2 linked regions of the Astyanax mexicanus genome follow. The protein of the gene in region 2 purifies or fractionates together with the protein of the main gene of each other region. This does not show direct contact. Links are inferred from orthologs where the notes say so. Each region holds a gene or a part of one and is shown on either strand. Other genes may lie near its edges.

The links. Proteins that work in one complex are often made in the same cells at the same time.
Region 1: the proteins of snrnp70 (region 2) and larp7 purify together in Homo sapiens (affinity purification with mass spectrometry; 3 studies listed by BioGRID and IntAct, counting the BioPlex papers as one, with this or other methods). This does not show direct contact. The link is inferred for Astyanax mexicanus from reciprocal best matches to the Homo sapiens genes SNRNP70 and LARP7.

The regions. Positions count from the first base shown.
Region 1 is NC_064415.1:28,220,715-28,228,470, reverse strand, and holds the start of larp7 (la-related protein 7), read left to right. Parts: upstream 1-4,194; 5' UTR 4,195-4,485; intron 4,486-5,820; 5' UTR 5,821-5,822; coding exon 5,823-6,030; intron 6,031-6,192; coding exon 6,193-6,293; intron 6,294-6,399; coding exon 6,400-6,483; intron 6,484-6,566; coding exon 6,567-6,731; intron 6,732-6,838; coding exon 6,839-6,944; intron 6,945-7,359; coding exon 7,360-7,668; intron 7,669-7,756. UniProt on the Homo sapiens protein: RNA-binding protein that specifically binds distinct small nuclear RNA (snRNAs) and regulates their processing and function.
Region 2 is NC_064426.1:20,935,739-20,944,160, forward strand, and holds the start of snrnp70 (U1 small nuclear ribonucleoprotein 70 kDa), read right to left. Parts: upstream 3,734-8,422; 5' UTR 3,537-3,733; intron 2,666-3,536; 5' UTR 2,659-2,665; coding exon 2,512-2,658; intron 1,330-2,511; coding exon 1,267-1,329; intron 1,149-1,266; coding exon 1,094-1,148; intron 999-1,093; coding exon 934-998; intron 1-933. Other genes in the region: E3 ubiquitin-protein ligase RNF113A, read left to right, coding at 5,291-5,393, 5,773-5,852, 6,692-6,790, 7,890-7,997. UniProt on the Homo sapiens protein: Component of the spliceosomal U1 snRNP, which is essential for recognition of the pre-mRNA 5' splice-site and the subsequent assembly of the spliceosome. SNRNP70 binds to the loop I region of U1-snRNA.

The sequences.
Region 1 (7,756 bases), on a different chromosome or scaffold from region 2:
AATTCTACCGTCTCCACATAAGAAGTTAACACCTACCCCATGCTGACTAGCAGATACCACTGACATACAAACATATACTGAAAACCAGCCAAAAAAACTTGAGTTTTGCAAAAGTTCTTATAAAAGAATCAATGTGTAAAAGTTAATAGATACATTTCTCTCATTCAGATGTTTTTCCCAGAAGGTTTATATTAGAGCCTTTTCCACTAATGTTTTTAAACGCTTGAAACTTTAGATAACAGTAATTTCACCCTTGATCAGCATCAACTTTAATCCCAACACACCCTACAACTGAAGACTGGGGATATATAAGGCAAGTATTCTGCCTTTCATCATGATGGTGAGTGCTCCAAAAAACAATTTCGTCTCAAATCCTTGCCCATTTCGGTTTCCAGTCTGCAGCATTACCTTGCTTGATATTTAAGGCACTTCCGCATGCACTCTAAAAAGTGATTTTGTGGTTTAGTCAGGAGAAATAATATTAGCAAGTTGAGTGAATTTACCGGGCAGTACAACTCAATAAAATGAGTTCAGACAATTTCAACCTGAAAACTTAAAAATGCTTATTGAGCCAATGAAAACATTTGATTTCAACCAACTTTTAGTAAACCACACGTGTCAATGCTCTTTTCACAGTAGGGTTCATACAGCTTTCCTATAGGCTCCTGGCACCATATATTAGCATTTTGGGTGTGGCCTCTCCTTTATTTACTATCTTTGTGTTGTCTGTTGCCCAAAGGTACCTTATCCTAGTCATGCATTCTCAGTGTAATGTAAGTGTTGATTGCCAGGCCTCAGTGTTTGTAGGCTTTAAAAACGTATCACTCTTATTCTGTGGTCTAAATTGTCACAGTATGTTAGTTCTATAAAAATATGTTAAAAATGTTGGAAATACTTTCATATTTAAATAATTAAAGCCAACAATTCTTGAAAAAAACTGTTGAGCTAATTAAACTACTGTTGTGTGATCAAAACTTCAAAGTCAAAGCTAAATTTGTTAAATTGAGCCAATGAATATTTATTTTCTATATGTTTATAAAAATTGTTTAGTTTAGTAGTGTTTTTCTGTTGACATGTACAACAAACACTTCTGAGTTTGTTAATCTAACTTAAAATGTTTTAGCAACTAATTTTAACACATTTTTTAGTTGGCAAGTCTAGCATATATTTTTCGATTACCGTGAGTAAATATATTAAGTTCAGCCAACTTAAAATATTAGATAATGATAAAATAACTATGATGAATTCTATGTTAAAGTGATTCGATAATTTAAGTTAAGCAAACATTTAAGACTTGTTAGGTCAACTTAATTGTGTAAGTGCAGAGAACAAATGAGCCATAAAGTTGTACTAGCTTTAAAAAAAAAAGGAAATTTGTTGCTTACGGATTATAAATTAAAGTGTTCAAATTTTTTACAGTGTACATGAGATATCCTTTTTCCAATTTCCATTAAACCATTAAACAGGTACTTTACACTTTTGATTAGCCAATGAAAGTAATTACAGTTAATCTCTGTTGTACAATTTGCTGAGTCTCATTGGTTCTATGGCCTTACATGTACTAGCTTGAAAATGCAAATCTAAAACTGCAGGTCTAGAAATGTGGTTGGCTCTGTGGCTGTGCAAACGGATGACGTAGCTTTAAACCAGTAGAGAAACAGATAGTCTACCATCCTTTAAACAAGAAAATCAGATATAATCAACAATCCTTTACACAAAAAAATCAGATATAGTCTACCATCCTTTAAACCAGTGAAACAGATATAGTCTACCATCCTTTAAACCAGAAAAACAGATATAGTCTACCATCCTTTAAACCAGATAAGCAGATATAGTCTACCATCCTTTAAACCAGAGAAGCAGATATAGTCTACAGTCCTTTAAACCAGAGAAACAGATACAGTCTACCATCCTTTAAACCAGAGAAACAGATAGAGTCTACCGTCCTTTCAACCATAAAAACAGATAGAATCTACCATCCTTTAAACCAGCATAACAGATATTGTCTACCGCCCTTTAAACCAGAGAAACAGATAGAGTCTACCGTCCTTTAAACCGGAGAGACAGATATGGTCTACCATCCTTTAAACCAGAGAGACAGATATAATCTACCATCCTTTAAACCAGAGAAACAGGTAGAATCTACCATCCTTTAAACCAGAGAAACAGGTAGAATCTACCATCCTTTAAACCAGAGAGACAGATATGGTCTACTATCCTTTAAACCAGAGAAACAAATATAATCTACCACACTTTAAACCAGAGAAACAGGTAGAGTCTAACATCCTTTAAACCAGAGAAACAGATATAATCTACCATCCTTTAAACCAGAAAAACAGAAAGAGTCCACCATCCTTTAAACCAGAGAAACAGATACAGTCTACCATCCTTTAAACCAGCAAAACCGTTATAGTATACCATCCTTTAAACTAGAGAAACAGATATAATCTACCATCCTTTAAACCAGAGAAACAGATATAATCTACCATCATTTAAACCAGAGAAACAGATATAGTCTACCATCCTTCAAACCAGAGAAACAGATGTAGTCTACCTTCCTTTAAACCAAAGAAACAGATACAATATACCATCCTTTAAACCAGAGAAACAGATACAGTCTATCATCCTTTAAACCAGAGAAACAGCTGTAGTCTACCATCCTTTAAACCAGAGAAACAGATACAGTCTACCGTCCTTTAAACCAGAGAAACAGATAGAGTCTACCATCCTTTAAACCAGAAAAACAGATAGAGCTCCCATCCTTTAAAATGTAGAAACACATATAAAGTCTACCATTTCCTTAAACCATTAGAAAAACATAAACAAGAGGAACAAATAGAGTCTAGATGCTAGTTTTCCTATCCTGTAAAACAGTAAAAAAATACAGTCTGTTGCTTCAAACAAGTAGAAAACATAAAGAGCCTACCAACCTTTAAACCAGTAAATCCAGAAAGACTACCGTCCTTTAAATCAGTAGAAAAATCGAGTCTACCATAATTTAATCCAGTAGAAAAACATATAGAGCCTACCTTCTTTAAATCAGTGGAAAAACATATGGAGTCTACGATCCAGTGAAACAGTTGAAAAACAGATGTTTTATAGTGACAGGTCTTTCCCAGGTAGTTTTCTATTTGCTTTGAGCGGTTTCCATACATTTCTGTACATTTGAAGCTTTAGCTAACAGTAACTTTACTAGAGTTTAGTATCAACTATAGTCAACACATATCTAGCAATAGGGAGGATTGCAAGACTGGTGTTTTTTTACTATTCTATTAGTTTTTCAAAAAGTAGTCGTAATTTGCATAATAAAAGAAAAAACTCGGGAGAGTGCTATATTGATTAATTAATTTATTTGAGCTGTTTCTGATACTGATTAACACAAACAAATATGTCAAATATTAGCGTGAGGGCTGGATCACGTTGGTGTTCAGAGCTGACCAATCAAATCAGGTCATAGCTTTTCTCCAGGGTAATAAAAGTGATTGACACCTATTTCAACCAATAATAATAATAAAAAAAACTTTGAACTTCAGAGCGCACACAGCGCGCACACGTGTGGATTTGTGTGTCATTTAATTTAATTTAAAAATTATTAATATTAATATTACTCTGAAATGGACTAACATTATTTTGTCACAAACAAACAAAAAAATATTAAACTCTTGTTGTTTAATGACAGATTTACTTCCTTGGCACTTCCTTGGAGAGGTTTTGAACACTTTGGAGACGCCTGGTGGACACCTAATATAATGCAACGTAGCTTGTAAATGCTTTCTTGTAAATTTCTCAAATTTTGTAATTTGTTTTCAAGACACTAGTGAATCAGGAAATATATATATATATATATATATATATATATATATATATATATATATATATATATATATATATATATATATATATATATATATATATTTATATATATATATAAATATAAGATATATATACGTAGGTAAAGAAAACCTTAAAGAACAGGATGACAGAATTTAAGAAGTTAGATTTGTGTAGATACTATACTATTTCCCAAAAAGGGAAAAAATATTCAAAATATGATTAACAGTAGATATATTACAGTTTAAACCAAAGAATAACATTCTTACATGTTATATTCAACCTAATCAGTATAAAAAAAATTAAGGTGAAGGCGTGGTAAAAGCGTGGCGGGGTGGGAACCTCTTTACTGGGTCATCAGTGTGCGCCCGGAGTCCTGCACGCTTAGCCTCGCTAGCCTAGCCGAAGCTAACTTACCACACCGGAGTTTAGGGTTTGTTTTTGTTCCTCCTGCAGCTGATTCTGATCATTAAAACACCCGAGGAGACGCAGAAACACAGCAGATAACCCCGTGTACCGGCGGGTCTGTTTTAGAACGGATTTATTGTGTATGTGATCGCTGAGGAGCAGTTAGACTGAACACCCGGTCTGCAGAGAGCAGTGAAGAGTGGGATGGTGCTGCTTTGAGTTTGGCGCTTTCGGCTCGACCATCAGGTGAGATACAGCTGCTCTACCTGCTGCAGCTCCTGCCCTGTGCTTTTACTGTCTTTTCACTGTTTTACCCAACCTACTGTTAGTGATTAACACACAGAGTTCAGGAGAGCGAACTGATGAACATGATTAACGTGTTAGAGCAGAGAAAATACTAGTACAGTACCCTGATCCTGTACTACTACACTCATATTCCAATAGAGAATCTTCATTGCTCAGCGTTGTCTATATACAGCTCTAAAAAAAAAAGAGATCACTTTAGTTTCTGAATCAGTTTCTCTGATTTTGCTATTTATAGGTATATGTTTGAATAAAATGAACATTGTTGTTTTATTCTATAAACTACGGATAACATTTCTACCAAACTCCAAATAAAAATATTGTTAGAGCATTTATTTGCAGAAAATGAAAAATAGATAAAATAACAAAAAACAAAATAAAAAGACATCAAATAATGCAAAGAAAACAAGTTCATATTCATAAAGTTTTAAGAGTTCAGAAATCAATATTTGGTGGAATAACCCTGTTTTTAATCACAGTTTTCATGCATATTGGCATTTTTTCCTCCACCAGTCTTACACACTGCTTTTGGATAACTTTATGCCACTCTTGATGCAAATATTCAAGCAGTTTAGTTTGATGGCTTGTGGTCATCCATCTTCCTCTTGATTATATTCCAGAGTATTTTTTTGTGTCATTACAGGTTGTAGGTCTGATATTATTTTCATTCAATTGATGATCTCTTTTTTTTAATATTTAGGTATCAATATTGTCATTTTAGTCTGACAATGAATGTCTGTACAGAAATCGACTATACGTCCAGGAGTGTCCAGTTATGTCCAGTCACCCTTCCTTGTGTGTTGAGTCACACACCAAGAAAAGCATTTCCAGTCTAATGGGGCACAATCACATAATGAGCTTAAAGTCTCTTTGGCAAGTTTGTCCAGAGTTAAGTGACTGGGTCTAAAACAGAGCTTGGTTATGCTTATGATTCACAGTGCTTCTGGCAAAACTATGTTTACATTTTTTGAATGCTTTATTGAATTCTCTTTCCGGGGAATTGGTTATTCATACACAAGAAAATTCTCTTGTGGATACCCCTTTTTTTACACACATACAGCTTGTTCAATCCAAATAGAAAAGCAATTAATGAAATGTGCTGTGTACCACATAAATATAAGTTAATGGTTTTAAACATGACCTTAGTTAAGTTCTCTGGAGTGATGGAGTTCTGTTTAAAAATAACAAATAACAGTCGTCATCATCATCATCATTTTATTCACACATATATGTTTTTCACACATAAATTTGTTTTTGCATTATTGCTGTAAATTCCAGGTATGACAGACAGCGAGAACATGTCGACTGGAGGAGACCTGAAGGCCAAGGAGCTCAGTGAAAAGAAGCAGGATAATGAGAAAAAGAAGAGGTCTCGGGTGAAACAGCTGTTGGCAGATGTGAAGAAACAAGTGGAATTCTGGTTTGATGATGTGAACCTTCACAAGGACAAATTTTTACAGAACGTCATTAGTAAATCAAGAGATGGTTGTAAGTTGAGATTACCTCAAGTTTTAGAATGACTGTCATTGTTGTCTTTGATTGATGAGTGTCTAAAGCGGCATTAATAAAAAGAATGTATTAAATCTATTGTCAAATCCATGTAGTTGTTTTAAACATAAACTCATTGCACGTTTTGGTCTTGTTTTGCAGATGTTGACATATCTCTTCTAACAACCTTCAATAAAATGAAAAAGTTGACCACAGATGTTAAACTAATAGCGAGAGCTCTCACAAATTCCTCTGTGGTAGAGGTAAGAATTGCCTGTATGTTAAAAAAAATATATAATGATTGTGATAGTAATGATAGTAATAATGATTGTGCCTTCACTTGATATTCTTGGATTTATTATTTGTCAGGTTAATCTCAAAGGAACTCAAATAAGACGTAAAAATCAACTGGGGGACAAACCTCAAGATATCGACAGCCGCACAGTATATGTGGTAAACATCATTTTTATTATTGGCTAATTTTTTATCTGTAAATGTTTATCTGTCAGTTGATCATAACTTATGTGTCTGTTTAGGAACTCCTGCCAAAAGATGTGACCCATGTTTGGATAGAACGAGTGTTTAGCAAGTGTGGGAATGTAGTGTACATCAGTATACCCAGGTACAAGATTTCAGAGTCCCCCAAGGGCTTTGCTTTTGTGGAGTTTGAGACAGATGCTCAAGCACAAAAAGCCATAGAGGTAGGTATTGGATTCTACTTCACATGATAAATTATTGGGTTACATTTTTGTGTTTTAGAAGCTAACTTTACAATTCAATAATTTACGCAATATCTTCTATTTCATAGATGTTGAACAACCCTCCAGAGGATGCTCCAAGGAAGGCAGGCATTTTCCCAAAGTCTTTAACAGATAATCCTGTCCCTTTGTGTACAGCACAGGATAGCACACAAGGTACCCTTCCATATGAAACACAAATTGTTTGGCAACACATGTACATTTGCCTTAGATCTGTTAAATACACAATATTCACTGAAGTCATGTCGTATTGTTTCCCAGGATGCATTAATAGGCATTCTGAGGTTTTAAATTATGATATATCACTTTGTACACATTTTAACAACAAAGCTTGCACAAGATTGTACTCTGTTCAGTGCCATTTCTTTTAATAAATCACACACAGAGGGTAATATTGTGATATAATATTATTTAATAATATTTTTGAGAAATATTTTCCACACCAAATTCAGAGTGCGTTTGACTTTCACAATCTGGTGCACATAAATTTTAGTGATGCATTTATCTTTCCGAAAATCAGAATTTTTTATTAACTTTTAAATCCAGCACCAATTTCTTTCTCCTCTTTTAGATGAAGATGAGGATGGAAAGAAGAAGAAGAAGAAAAAGAAGAAAGCTCGCAGTGAACTGAAAGAGGATTCCATTGAAGAAATGGCAGTTGAGAAGGTAAAAGAAAAAGAGCCTGTTGTTGAAGCTGAGGTGGCCAGTAAGAAAAGGAAAGCTTCGTCTGAGGGCACTGAGAAAGAGAGTGCCAAGGAGGCTAAGAAATCAGAGAAGAAAAGGCGCCGATCCCGTAGTTCAGAGGTGTCTGGTGTAGAGGGACAAGAAGAGATGCCAGCCAAAATGAGGAAAATGGAAGAAGAGACGAGTGACACAAAAGGTAAGACATTTTTATGTCAGGAAACTGCTGGTAATGGCAACACAACGTTTAGAAAATTGGGGTTGCCCAGTAACCGGTTTCCCAGTAT
Region 2 (8,422 bases):
ATTAATAACAGTGATGGTATAGTTACTTTGAAAAAGTAATCCAATTACTGATTACTGATTACTCCTTTAAAAAGTAACATAGTTACTTTATGGATTACTTGATTTTAAAAGTAACTAAGTTACTTTACAAGTTACTTTATTAGTTACTTTCAGCAGCTGCAGACACCACCTCCCGCCGCCTTAACATAAACATTATAACCAGTTTTGCCAATATTCCCTTTATTGGAAAATGCATTTTTAACAGCAACAATTTATCTCTATTAAGTTGAACGATTTCCTAAAAAAATACGTTTTTCAGACGTTGTCCAATACGGACCCATACCGGACCCAACTACTGAGAAAGATTTAATTCTGACAGTGTTCATTTAAAGCACCGGAACTTTTCTTGTCTTTACGGTATACGCGCAGTGAACTTCCAATCACGTGTGGTGTAAAATCTTTAAATGCTCTCCTCTGCCAATCAAATTTGTGGCAGACCGCTGCCCTGGCTAGTGAATTGGGACGCGGCCGCAAAAAAACGCTTTAATAAAGAGATAGGGCGCAGAGAACTGGCGAAAAACGAAAACGGGCAGAAACTAAAGACACGCCGAGCGCGAGAGAGAGAGACAGGGGAGAAAGCGAGACGCGTGTGATTGGGGAAGAGCGGAGGGGGAATGGGTAAGGGAGCGGTGTGTGTGTGTGTGTGTGTGTGTGGAGGAGATGAGGTGGAGAGACAGAGAGAGAGTAACGCACAGTGACTTAAATAAGTAACTTTAATCTGATTACTGGATTGGAAATAGTAACGCGTTAGATTGCTCGTTACTGAAAAAAAGGGTCAGATTAGAGTAACGCGTTACTAAGTAACGCGTTACTGACATCACTGATTAATATTGTGTCTAGAAGTCTAGAAATTTTAAAATAATCAAAAAAAAGGAAAGGACAAAAAAAACTTACAACTCGAGCCACAAACAAGGTCTTGAAAGCATCTCCTTGGGCATTTGGATCATTATGAGGATCCCCTGCAAAAAGAAATGAAAGAATGAAGTCGGACTGAGTTGGTGCTCAGGCTGGAATGTGTAACTCTTAAGATCCTTAAAATACATTGCATACTTACACAATTTCAGCTCTGTCTCCACTACCGTTTGCCGCCTCTCCATTTTCTCACGCCTCTGTGAAAAGAACACGACATACAGTCATTAAGATAATGCCAGAAAACACAGACAATGTGTCTCACTAGTCCTTGTTAAGCTTTTTTTCTATCATATAAAAACATCACAATATTCTCACCTTTCTCTCCAACCTCTCCTCGCGCGTTTCGGCTCTTGTGGGTGGCGGTGCATCTCTAGGGTCCTGATTGAAAGGAAGGATAAAGATTAAAAACGCAACACAAGATTAAAATAAAATTAATTAATGACCTGTACAAAACCATTACAGTTGATTTACAACTTATCACAGAGGAATCTCTCTAGTTGATGAGGAGCTAAGGTTTTTAAAAATAGGTAAAAAGATTTATATGTTAAGATCCTAATAAATATTAATAATACGGCAATACCTCTAATGACTAGTGGTTTTGTATATAGTAAATGGAGCTAAATGCTAAACCTTCAAATTAAAAATAATAATTTACTACTTGTTCTGAGTACTTCTTTAATTTCAGTAAAAGCAAAGAAAGCTTGCCTATATATTTTAGTTTATCTACAGAAAAAAAGCTTTTACACTGCAAAAGCACTAGCATTACTGGTACTGTGAGCTGATTGGTTGGCAAGCTGAGCCTCGATATACAGGTAGTGCACATTTAAAAGGCTTAAAATTTATGTCTGCTGTACTGAAACATTTGATTAATAGATCCGTGTTGAAGACAGTTATAAAAAAAATAAAAATAAATAAATAAAAAAAGAAATTTTTAAAGTCTGATTTTGCTCAGTTGCTTAATATGAACATATTCATGTTCGACACATTGCAAGTGTGTTTTCTCCTCTATGGAGATTCTCTGGCATGGCATCGCTAGTTCTCATGTGTGTTTAGTCCGGGTGCGCACGAAAGGAAACGTGTTTCTGGAAAGCAGCCAGGTAAGTCTGTGATTTCCCACAGCAAAAAAATTTGCTGTTTGAGATCCGGTGTAGACATTCAGTTGTGTAGTGTCTCAACAACAAGTCGTGTAGTGTGAATAACGCAGGGATGTGTTTTGGACCAATGGTTTTCTCTTTCTCCATGATTTCATTGCCAGTATGTAGCCGCTGCTCCTGACTCCCAGTCGCAGACTGGGTCAGATATCTAGCATGCCAAATACTTGCTGTGAGTCTAATTCATGTTACACAACTGTGCAAGTGCTGAGAGATCCCTGATTTGGCTCTGAGCAGACTTTTTGTCAGCAGTCAACAAAAAACTGTTGGTGACTGAAAAACTGGACTAAAACAGGGTAGTGTGAACCTGGCATAAGTGTTCACACTACATAAAGTTACCTACAAGTGTACTTACATAACATTAAGTACCTACAAGTGTGGCATAACATGCAATTTTACTAATTCATACCTCGAAGTGCTTGATGAAGGGAGCGATCCCAGAGTACGGCTGGTTGTGGTGTTTTTCATGGGGCAGCTTCTCCAACTGTGGCAGAAACGGAATGGGGTCCCGCGGGGCAAACAAGGCCAGCAGGTTTGGGGGCAGAAACTGAGTCATTGTTCACCTAAACAGAGCAGAGAAATGGCCATTTAACAATATTACACAATATTACGATTAAATGTCATTACATTGTAGATTAGGCCAGCAAGGAATTCACAAAGAAACTAAAAACGTCAAACTCTAAAGAACAGGGTCTGAGACCCACTGCTTGATAAAGGTATGGGCCACAAAGAGACTACAGAGACCAGACAAGTAAAATCAACACTATCAGAGAAGTAAACAACCCAATTCCTGTGAGGTAAAAGTATCAATTCAGAACCCAGTTTGGCTCATTAGACACACACAACATTAAGATAGTAAATTAGCGCTAGCCAGCTAGCTTAGCATTACAAAACTCAATACAAGCAAGCTAAGCTAGCTAACACAACACATTTAATCTACATGGATAAATTTAAATTATTTACTCAATTAATTAAGATAAATTAATCCACCAATACAAACCTACATTTAGTGTAAATCCATAAAGAGTACCAAACTGACGCTGAAACCTATATATGTTAGCTAAATAACCTATGTGTGTGGTAGCTAGCGTAGCGCATAGGGCTTGGTTGTGCTAGCTAGCAGCTAGCCATGTTTAAATAAGCGAGCAAAAGGTGCGCCCTCGACCAAGGTCCCTTACTAGTCTGCACTTAGCTAACGCTAACTCGGTTCCAACTAATACTCTTTTTAACTTAAACTAGCAAACATACACTTTATAAGCCACATCATGAAGACCACACGCACCTACTCCGCTTAACTAAAACAAAATATAATTAAATAAAAAAAATTCTAGCCAAACGTGCCCACTCCCAAAGCTTTCTAGAATTTAGTTCACAAGAGCGCGTATTGGAGCACAGCCCGCTTTCTCCGAGGCCTCGTGTCGGACATTAAATTACCTCAGCTCCGCATCCAATCCGCGCAGAATCTCCGAGCTCCGCAAAATAACGACTTCAGCAGCTCCCACAGAGCCTCCCAGTGTAGACTGTTACTGTAACACCAGTCTGTACTGGTCGCTTTCACTAGTTTCGTTACTGCTCAGTTCTCCAGCTCCTCTCCGCGCTGCGCGCTCTCTCAAAATGGCGCCACGCCGTAAATCGCTACAATTCATGAAGGGGCATTGTTTACGACAGTAGTTCACAGTTGGCGGCATTACTTGGCAACGTCAGAAGGTATCAGTGTGTCCCAATTCAGGGGATGCACCCTTCAGAGGCCGTATTGGAAGAATCCTGCCCCTAAATTGGCACACGATGTTTCTGTATTTATTTTTTCAGTGAGACGTATTTTATCTTTATTATGTGTTCAGTACCTTAAATTGTATATGTTGTAATTGCATGTGCGGCATGTCTTGTATTTTTATTTATAAAACAATTACATAAACTGTTTATTTGTACATATGTATGTATTGTATCATTAAATTATAAAATATAAAAAATAAGAGACCATTTAAAAATGAAGAGTTTCTTTGATTTTACCTAATTAACAACCCCTGGATTATAATCAAGAGAAAGATGAATGATCACAAGCCATCAAACCAAGCCAAACAACTATAATTTTTGCACCAGGCATAGCATAAAGTTATCCAAAAGCAGTGTGTAAGACAGGTGGAGGAGAACATGCCAAGATGCATGAAAACTGTGATTAAATAACTACGGTTATTCCACCAAATATTGATTTCTGAACTCTTAAAACTTTTTGAGTATGAACTTGTTTGCTTTGCATTAGTTGAGGTCTGAAAGTTCTGCATCTTTTTTGTTATTTCAGCCATTTCTCATTTTCTGCAAATAAATGCTCTTAATGACAATATTTGTATTTGGAATTTGGGAGAAATATCCATAGTTTATAGTATAAAACAACATTTTATTTAAACATTCACATATAAATAGTAAAATCAGAGACACATATTGAGAAACTGAAGTGGTCTCTTATTTTTTTTCTTGCTTTCTTAACGATTTTTATATTTTTATACTATATTATCTTATCTTCCTGACCTCCACTCATGCGATGGCACTTCTTCTTCATCCTGCTCCTCCTCCTCCTCCTCCTGTCTAGCAGCTGCCAGCCTAGAAGCCAGGCTCTATCTAGTCAACCCTTAAAAAATTTATGGTATTTAAAATAGCAGTTTCCATGCCTGGATAGGTTTTGGAAAACTAGAAATACCCAGAAAGGTTTGGTAAAATTAAAATTTGCAGGCTACATATGTGTGTTTTCATTTATCGACTGAGAAAAGCTATTTTGAGCTAACAAATATATCAGCTCAGAGTTAGTTCTGTATAATAGCCTTACACAATGAAGCTCTCAGGATCTGACACACATTTTATTATTATTATCATAAATTGTGTGAACATTACTTTTTTTTTATTTATAGTTTTAGTTGATTTTTGATTGTATTGTCCGCACTGATGTTTTAAAGATTGTATAGACATGACAATTTGCCTTGGAGACATGAAAAAGTCCTGAAAATGTATTGGTTAAAAAGTGTATAAACCTGGATAAAGTTACAGTAGGTATAGCGCTGCCACAGGCCTGAAACTGCTGCTGTGAATCCGCTGTCGTATATCCGTGCAGTTCCTCTCCAGGCGGCGAGAGGCGCTGTGTTAAAGCTGTAGCTGCTCTTCTGTCTCTGAGTGTAGTTTATTTTCATTAGTTAAAGATGGCGGAATCCGAGGAGACTAAAGCGACCTGCACGTTTTTGTTCAAAAAATCCAGTAAGAAGTTTTCAGCTCGGAAGAGAAAAGCCAGCGACAGCGACAAAGGTAAACTTTATTAGGCGGTTTTTACTATTTTAGTGAGTGTAGAGGGGTTAAATCTGTTATAATACAAGTAATAAATGCTGAGGAGGAGGCGAAGATTGAGTATTTCATATGTAACGTTATGTGTTCTGTTCCTCCGCGGACAGCGCAGCCTAAAGACTGTAAATTATTATGAATATATCTTTATATTGTGTTTATTTATCTGTAAAGTCCGGACGGGTAACTTAGAGCTAGAACAGAACCACCGCTCTGTTTAAGGTGGAATGAGAGATAGAATTAAGACGCAGCTCCATATTTATATCCTCGGTTTTAGTCAGTGTTTGGTCTGAATATAGAGTTTACTCCAGAGAATCAGGCTCAGTAACTCTGCTCCCTGTGTCAGACAGAAGCAGTGATGAGGAGAAGAACGCCGTGGTCAGAAGAGAGAAGAAACCCGTCTCTGCGAACCCCATGTTCCAGAGGGTGAGTGCACTAATCCAGGTCTTTATGGAATACAACGTTGCCAGGTCCAACACAAATATCCAGCCTAAATCAGTCTAAAACCCGCCCTTCAAAAGCTTAAACTAGCCCAAAATATATGTTTGAAGCAAATGGCAAAACAACCGTGAGGTTACGACTTAGTATTTTTTTTATTTAAGGGATTTATTATCAGTATTGCTGTTTATCTTAAAGTAATTAATAATATTGTGACATTAGTGTTTTATTAGTTCCTTTATAACAGTTCTGTATCCCAGTTAGGAACATTTAATAGTAACATAAGTAGCAAAAAAAATTACTTACTCATATCTGTTCCTGCCCCTCCTGAACTCTCTTCTCTCCTATTTTAACGTTTTCTTCATTACCTGGTGATTTCTGGTTACATTGTTAACACCTCTAAATGCGTTATTTTTTGTGCCTGGTTCTGTAACATTGGCCTCTATGAATCTGTGCCCAACTCAGCACAAAGTTCCAATAAAATGGCTCTTAGGAACCTAACTCGGCTCATTAACCAGAAACCAGAATCATCATTCACCAAAAAATAATAAAATCTTCATCAAAACAGGTTGTCGCATATTTGTCTAGGGCTAGGTCTTTGGGTAATGCCAAAAATTTCATAACGACAGACAGTGCATTTTTCATTTACATATCTGCCTTAGATATAACAGCATATCTAATGTTTTAACAATACAGTGTGTGTTAGTAATTTATTTTGTTAATTAGTGTGTTTTCTATTTGCTTTATTATTTTTGTGACTCTGCTTTGCAAGTCCTGTCTATATTTTATGGTTTTAGTTCATTAACCAACCAAAATCCCTGTTTCAGACAAAGAAGGTGGAGCGGGAAGCCGTCTCATCAAGTGAAAGTGAAGAAGACAAAGAAGCCAAAAAGATCACAGTGGCTTATAAATCCACCCGCTCAGCGGTAAGAAAACCTGCCCCAAGAATCAGTATTATGTTTAATTGCTCTTTTTTGTGTTCAAAGGAACAATCAGTAATAAATGGAAACGAGTGTGTGAAATTGGGGTGGGCGATATGGCTCTAAAATAATATCATGATATTTCAGAGTATTTTTACGATAACGATATACTTGGCGATATAGGAAAACTAAAATAATTCATTCATTTCAGGAATATAGTATAATAGTATAACAGAATAATCATAATGTGGCAAAATAAATTATATAGCATAAAATAATATGATGCTGCAAATATTATTGCAGAATATTTAGAGCATGCATATAAACTGCAAACTAAAACAATTATACAATAAATACACCTTAAGCTTCACAGTAAATAATAGACTTCTTTTAAGACAGAACAGCCCTATTATCACGATATGTATTTTTAATATCATGATATTTCTGTGTCAGGATATATTGTATACGATATAATATTGCCCACCCCTAGTGTGAAATAGCTTCAGGAGTTCAATTTTCAAACATTGGAGAGAGTTTTCTGCCCCACCCTCTCTTTCCCAAATGTTGAGCTCGCGCGGGTTGCAAGAACAATTGTCGACGAGTCTCACTGTTTAGCTAATCAGCACATGTATACATTTGTTTCATTGTTCTAAATGCCCATCTATACTACTCTAGTGGTGGTGGTAAATATGCTTAGCAACCTTACTAGAACTCAGTTCAGCCAAAAAAGTAACCAGCCTGTCCATTTCCATTTCACAACCCTGAGTGTGGAAAAGGGAGTGGGGGAATGGAAGTGGGTAGATTTTAATGCAAACTCCCACATAGATTTCCATGAGGTACCAAATAATTAAAATATAATTACAGCCTTATGCTCTGCTCTCAAGAGCTGCCAGTGCTGTCAGAGTTACTATGGAAAATCTAATCCTTAATGCTTTTTTTAAAATGGTATGTTATTCATATTATTGTTTTATTATATTCTAATGCATTCAACCTGCGTTTTTACATGAGCAGTTATTATGATGATGATTTCTTCTTCTTCTTCTTCTTCTTCCTTTTTAATTCTGTTTAAACTTTGCTGATGGGCTGATTTTTATATGTGAAACAGAAACCTGAAGGGCCAGAGGACATGGGGGCAACAGCTGTGTATGCACTGGACACAGAAAAAGACAAAGACGCTCAGGCCATCTTTGAGCGCAGCCAGAAAATTCAGGAGGTGAGGAACAAATCTGTCAGTGATAACTGAATTTGTAGTTAATTTCACAAAAAATTCTCTTCATCTGTTATGCTCCTGTGCATGATATGTATGCTATTGTAAATCAGTTTATAGAGTTTATAGAGCTGGGCGATATGGGGAAAAGGTATTGATTGTACCATGATATTTAAAGATTTTTTAAAGATATGCAGCTCTGGAAATAAGAGACCACTTAAAAATGATGAGTTGAAAAAAATTGAAATTGAAAACCTCTGGAATATAATCAAGAGGAAGATGGATGATCACAAGCCATCAAACCGAACTGAACTGCTTAAATTGTTGCACCAGGAGTGCAGGCATAAAGTTATCCAAAAGTAGAGTGTAAGACTGGTGGAGGAGAACATGTCAAGATGCATGAAAACTGTAATTAAAATCCAGGGTTATTT